2 linked regions of the Xenopus tropicalis genome follow. The protein of the gene in region 1 interacts with the protein of each later gene in a biochemical or structural test. Links are inferred from orthologs where the notes say so. Each region holds a gene or a part of one and is shown on either strand. Other genes may lie near its edges.

Region 1 (3,149 bases):
TCTATCCATGAATTCTTCCATAGGGAAAAACACAGATTTTAACTTATGGAGCACTAAAACATTTTGTCTAGTCCTGTGCTTAAGAGCAAATTCCCATAGCTTGTGCACTCTTGCCTTCCAATTGTGCCTGTATGTTACCCAATCACTTAGATTGTAAGCTCTACGGGGCAGGGACCTCCCTTCTACTGTGTCTCATACCACACCTATGGCATTTTATCGGAGTATTATTTATTATTATTTATTGTATTTATTATACTACTTGTCCTCCCTACGTGTAATCTTGCATATCCAGGATTCGGTTCAGTATTTGGCCAAATCCATGGTCCTGGCCGAAACAAATCCAAAAAAATCACATGACTTTTTGTCATGTTAACACGGAAGTGAAAGATGTTTTAACCCTTCCAAATCCTAATTAGCATATGCTAATTAGGATTAATTTCAGGATTCAGCCAAATCCCTTACGGTGGATTTGGGGGTAAACAGCCGGTAAGCAGCACAACATCAGCACAAGATAATACCTGGGTGCCAGTGCAGTACTGTAATAGACATTTTCACAGGTAGTGACAGCACTTGCAGGAATTTGTACACAAGATCAAGTGAAAATAAAAAAATGTTTACTCAGTCCAACGTTTGTTTCTAATTGGAATAATTGGAATAAGTAATACTTCTAGGTAGGTAAGCAAATAAACATATCCCTTACACTGTTTTGTAAAGGGGAATAACCAGATGAGGAATGTTAAGCACACTGAATAAAAGATAACCCTGCTATTGTTTATAATAAAAAAAAAACGAAATAAATGGAAGCCAAACAAACTGGGGAAAAACATAATGCAAGAAAGAAATGAAAGTTAGAGAGGGAACCCTTACCCGGTCACTTGAAGAAAATTTAATGCAGCGTGGATCATCCTTTATAATCTTCTTAACCTCTTTCCAAGTGGATGTTAAAGTAATCTAAAACACATCATTTTACACACAGTAAATAATCAGTTTAATAACACCCTCAGGTGTATTAGTTATATACTGCCGTATATTTATTTCACTTAGAAACCACAATAACATACTGTATAGTATTAAGAGATTTCTGCAGATGGGCATGTCGTAGAAACAGGGCACATGAAGTCTACACATAGTAAGGTATCACACTTTTTGGATGGGGGGAAGCAATACTCTGTCAACGGAAGGATCTGGAAAGGGATGACAGTGGCCCTTAAACTGCCATGCTAGGACTCGGGTAAACACAACAAATCAGTAAAACTACAGAAGAACTAAGACACACTGCAATTTTATGATCCTTAGCTTGCAGCAAGAAAAAAAAATCTAAGGATCTGCAACAGCCACAGTTCTGTGGGATCTGTTTCCCTGATACAGGAAAATAATGCACACATTTTATCAGTACGACTTACAGCACATGTTTCATCCAACAGCTGTCTAAACTGTTCTCGTTTCTTTTTAGTAAGCGCCTCAATGTGTTCACTAAAAAGTTTCTCCTTCTCTTCCCTTTCCAGCAAGGAACCAGATTCCCATCTGTGGTCTTTCCTCAATGTCCTTCTTGTATCAGACCATGAAACATCAGATGACCGCACCTAAAAAACAATCAAATGCCAAAAATGAATTCCCATGAAATGCACCCACCAATCAGTGCAGAGTGATCAAATAACTAACAAGCCATTACCATATCCGACAAAAGGGCTTTAAAATTCTGGATTGCTTCTTCTCGCTTGTGCTGTTCTCGTTCTCTGTCAATTTCCTTGGTTTGCTCTGAGCGAGCTTTCTGCACTTCCCGCTCTCTTTCACGTAAACTTGCCTCAATGCGAGCTTGTCTTTCCAGCTCTTTCTCCTTTTCTGTATCTAAATTCTGGTATTTAGAATAAAATGGAAGATACTTATTTTCATGAAAAAGTCCAAAAATCCAGACTGGTATTAAAGGATTAAATAAGACCATCAGGCACAACTTGTCAATTCTGTCAGGTACAACCTGACAAGGCTGAGTCTCAACAAACCTCAAAACCCAGGTGAATAAATATAAAACCATGCTGTTTTAATGTCCACATAAAATGGCATACATACTGGCTGTAATAAATAGGAAAAAACATTTATGAAGGATTATTTTGTTAAAAATGGGATGAACAGCTATTTACATGATAACCTAACATACCTTTACAATCTTTTCTATATACAGTTTAAAGAGCTCTTCTCTTGCCGCTGAACTTTCCACTGCTTTGTAACGGAGATCATTCTCTATCTTGTCCTTGATTTTGCTCCATCGAGACTGTCCGTCTAAATGAAGGCTGGATAACAAGTCAAAGAAGTCCGATCGGACCTATATTTGATAAAATGGTTAAATTATAAGCGTGCTGATACTTGTACTGCTGGGAGAGAAGTAGTGCTTTCCTAATAAAGCAAGAAAACTGCTTCCTGCAATATTCATGTTTTGCACCATTCATGGCTTACATACTGGAAACATTTCTAATTAGGCAAGGGCACTACTTCCCTACTACTGTTATATGTGCCTACAAAACAGTATGAGGTATTGTTAAATGTTTAAAAATAAGTTAGTAGGAACCAATACTGTACACAATGCTAACCAACCTGGCTTTTCATTCTAAATACAGCTATGGTTCTATTGTCTAGAAACCAGTAAGCCAGAAAGCTCTGAAAAACAGGACTGACATTTTCTATAGTTCCCAAACCACTCTCTATTTTGAATGTATAAGCTTTTTCTCTGTAATAAAACAACACTTTATACTTCATAACTAAATTAAATCCATAGTGATGGCAAATAAAAACTGTTCGTTCAGGCTGATGGCAGATGTGGCGTAGGGCGGATATTTTTGGCAATTTAAAAACTGTTGCCGAATAGGGATGCACAGAATCCTGGATTTGGTTCGGGATTTGGGCCGAATCCAGCTTTTGATGGATTCGGTTTCGGCTGAATCAATAGCCCCGGCCGAACCTGATGTTAATTAGCATAAATTAACATATGCTAATTAACATTCAGAAAGGGTTACATTTTAGGGGGGTTTTGCCGTGTGCGGGGTTAATTCCTAATTAGGATTCAGAACAATCCATCAGGGTGGGTTTGGTGCATCCCTAGTTTATAACATGTATAAATGTTTACGTAGCACTGATGCACCATGCTGCACTACAGT
Region 2 (3,830 bases), on another chromosome or scaffold:
ATTTTACAAGTTTATTACCTCCATATACTAGAGAGAAAGTGCTGGTCAAATGTATTGCACAGTCAAGCTTGTGATTTGTGGAATAATTTTCTGCAACATTCCTCTGGTATCTTTAGAAAGGGACAAGGAAAATCGTCATCGAAAACGTAGTCACAGCCGTTCTAGAAGCCGAGACCGGAAGCGCCGCAGCCGTAGCAGAGACAGGCGAGGTAGAGAGCAGCGAAGTGGATCCAGGGATCGAAGGCGACGCAGGTAAAACTTGTAGATGTCTCTTAAACTATTGTGTAAATATGCTAACCCTTGCATGACTTAAATCTTCCCTTTTTTTTTTTTTTTTTGTCCAGTCGCTCACCAAGACATGAGAAGAAAAAGAAGATCCGTAAATACTGGGATGTTCCACCTCCTGGTTTTGAGCATATCACCCCTATGCAGTATAAAGCCATGCAAGGTAATTTGTTTTTAACATTTAGTTAATACTCATCTTTTTACTTTAGCTTTTGAAAGCTTTAAGGGTCATAATACAGCGTTGCTATTTAAATGAGTAACTAATATTTTTTTGTTTGAAAGGTATGTTTTATTACTGCAAAATAAAAGCTCTTTGCTTAACAAGGATTCTGTGCATTTATTTTGGAGCCTTCTGGATAATCTTGCATGTAATATATTTGAAATGTGAATTCTGATTGAATGTACAGTTTTTGTGCTTATCGCAGTATCTGCTTTATCATTTGTGTTATGTCTGTGTTTGGAAGTTAAAAGGAAACTGATTATCAGGGGCAGCTTCTTCTACACAATTATTGATGTAGCCTAAGTGCCATTGTGTTGGAAAAATGAATGTTAGACCATGAAGAGATACCCCTAGAGTACAAAAAGGGAATAGCATCAAAGGAGAAAGTTGTAAGTCCGCCCCTTGCATTAGGCCATACTCTTAAACAGGCAGTGAAATTTTGGGCTCCGGTTCACAAGTTACATTGTGAAACTACACTGAGCACAGAGAAGAGGTGAATATAAAAGGTAAGTGCAATATTTTGCTTTACAGAAAAGCTGTCCAGCTTGGATTCATTTTTATTGCACAAGGGGTTCTTCACATAGACTTCCCTTGTGGGGTAAAACAGCATATCATTCGACGGGAGTAAAAGGAGGACAATATCAGCTGTTTTGCTTCCCCTTTATAATTTTCTAACTTGAGTTTCCCAGCCAAAAGTTTTACACCACATTACCTATACGTTCAAAAGCAGAAAATATGAATTTACAGTGAGTACTAAACCTTCACATATTTGTAAGCTTGAGTATGGTATTGTCTGTCTTGTTTAGATATATTTTTTCTGGTTTTAAATTAACTGTACAATTGACTGTCACATGTCACTATTAATTTGTACACTTGCAGACCATTTATATTTCGCGTAACTTTTTTATCTTTTCCTCAGCTGCGGGTCAGATTCCAGCTACTGCTCTCCTTCCAACAATGACACCAGATGGCTTGGCAGTTACTCCTACTCCTGTGCCTGTTGTGGGTAGTCAGATGACAAGACAGGCCCGTCGACTCTATGTTGGAAATATTCCATTTGGAATCACTGAGGTATTTGCTATAGCCATTCTATTTCCTAGCTATAGTAAAGTATTGAGGTTGAGAAATGGCAGCACCAAAACATTTTTCAGCATTTCTTCAACATTTTATTTACCACTTAATGAAGGTATTCTTTGCCCCTTAGGTTAATAAGTATTTCATAGCTTGAAACATTCTCTTATCTCAGTTTCTTTTGTTATTGGTCTCAAGCTATCCGTATTGGTGGCACTAACAATTTTCCTGCATACAGCTCTTAAGCAGGGACCTGAATTTTGGGCTCTCAGACAAGTGCTCAGTAAGTCCCTGACAGGCGAGGATTTCAAATATACAGTCTGTAAATTTTTTAAATATGATTTGTTTGAATATTCGTTGTTCTGAATAGTTGTAGTTGGGCTTTTACTCAGTGCCCTATCATGGGTAAATATACATTGCCGTAGGTTGTTTCTGCAAGAGAACTGTGCCATCTCAGATACCCTTTTTTTTTTTTTTTTTTTTTTGTCCATCCTGGTACCAGCATTGATAGCTACCTTTGAATTATTACATAAGCAATCCATTGCTTTCTCTTTATACTACCACCCTTATTTTCATTTAAGCTGTATGAGTTTGGTTAAGTCACTCTTTATTTAGGGCCATTGTTAAACAGGCGTTATGTCATTGGAGTACTAGGTATAGATAGGTAGTGCAAAATAAAAAATGTTTCTGATAGCCAAAAATGTAATCAATAAAGGCTGGAGTTGGGAGGATGTTGAACATATCCGAAAACTACTTCCTCCTTGGCAGCTCTCTAACCTCTTAGTGACTTGGAGGGGCACATAAGACAACTGTTCAGTTACTTTGCTTTTGATCCTTAGCAATCTAAAGGAACAGTTATATCCCATATTCCCCCAAGTTACTGATTACAAACTTGTAACAGATAAGAGAACTGCAAAGGAGGAAGTTAGTGTTCTGGCAATTATGTAGACTTTATTTTTGACTATATTGAAAAGTTTTATTTTGCACAGCCTATCTATTTCCCCAGTTTAATTTTTACTGTAAACCGTTTAAAACCCTTCCTACATTTGGTCTTTTGGTTTCTGATCTTTAAGGGATATCAATGGTAAAAATCCTCCAGCCACCACATCCCTAATCCTGCAAAATCCTGAATGAAGTCCTTATTGCTTAATGTATTTCAATTGTTTGCCAGAAAGCCCACATACAAATAAGCATTATTTGGTGTAAAGTGTGTAAATGATGTGGCCAGTTAAATGCATATCCTTGTGTATCATTTGCTTAGTCAGTGGGCAAACCTTATTTATCTCTTCTCAGGCAGTAATACAATATTTGTCCTTAGCAGTTGGGGACTTACTGAGAAACATGTTTGAGACCCAGTGTCTGAGGCAATTGTAACATTAATACATTTTAAATAAAAATGGACCGTTACAAAGCAGTTACATTGAGTTCTGTTAAATAGTATTCTTAATCTAGTTGACACAGGTAAGGTATTTGGCAGCTGCTTTAAGCACGCTATAATGGCTTTATAACTGGTCTTTCGGTGTTATGGAGAAAAACTTACAGGTGGGTTTTTTCAAAACTTGGTGTCCCTTCTCCATGGTGTTTAAATGATTTGTTTCACATTTGATCATGTGACACATTGCTAAACCCTACATTTCTAATCTATAAAATGGGTATCGCATTTTTGCTTTTTTTTTTTTTTTTTATTCGGAACTGGTACTATGGCCCTGCACTCTAATGGAGTTTGTCTCAAACTTTTTTCCAAATTTTCCAGCAGTTAGCATGGTTTTTGCAGAAATGGCTGCTTTTGTTGAATTACAACAATAAACAACTTTGATTTAAAAGAAACCTTTTCTATTTGAAAAACAAGATCAAAGAGTTGTTTCCATTTCTTTTTAAAGTGAAAATTGTGGGGCTGAAATCCCTTCGTAGCAAAATAAGTTTGCTACCATCGTGCAAGGCAAGTAGGACATTCTAGATCTTAAACATGCTCTTTGTTGCTATTAACAGGGATATCAGACCACTTATATTTCTCTCCTCTTTTTACCTTGCAGGAAGCAATGATGGATTTCTTTAATGCCCAGATGCGCCTTGGTGGATTGACTCAAGCGCCTGGAAATCCTGTACTGGCTGTTCAGATCAATCAAGACAAAAACTTTGCCTTCTTGGAGGTAAGTAAAGCTTGTGGAAAGTGGCATTGTGCCGAATAGGAATGTATGTATAAAACACTTAAAGCAATACTTTCATGGGAAAACAAATTTTTTTTTTTTTTTTT

The links.
Region 2: the proteins of tcerg1 (region 1) and u2af2 form a complex in vitro, tested with the Homo sapiens proteins (2 studies listed by BioGRID). The link is inferred for Xenopus tropicalis from reciprocal best matches to the Homo sapiens genes TCERG1 and U2AF2.

Annotation. Positions count from the first base shown.
Region 1 is NC_030679.2:39,889,368-39,892,516, reverse strand, and holds part of tcerg1 (transcription elongation regulator 1), read right to left. Parts: intron 2,321-3,149; coding exon 2,156-2,320; intron 1,856-2,155; coding exon 1,673-1,855; intron 1,584-1,672; coding exon 1,404-1,583; intron 952-1,403; coding exon 868-951; intron 1-867. UniProt on the Homo sapiens protein: Transcription factor that binds RNA polymerase II and inhibits the elongation of transcripts from target promoters. Regulates transcription elongation in a TATA box-dependent manner.
Region 2 is NC_030683.2:104,046,019-104,049,848, forward strand, and holds part of u2af2 (splicing factor U2AF 65 kDa subunit), read left to right. Parts: intron 1-116; coding exon 117-252; intron 253-344; coding exon 345-448; intron 449-1,424; coding exon 1,425-1,576; intron 1,577-3,609; coding exon 3,610-3,726; intron 3,727-3,830. UniProt on the Homo sapiens protein: Plays a role in pre-mRNA splicing and 3'-end processing. By recruiting PRPF19 and the PRP19C/Prp19 complex/NTC/Nineteen complex to the RNA polymerase II C-terminal domain (CTD), and thereby pre-mRNA, may couple transcription to splicing.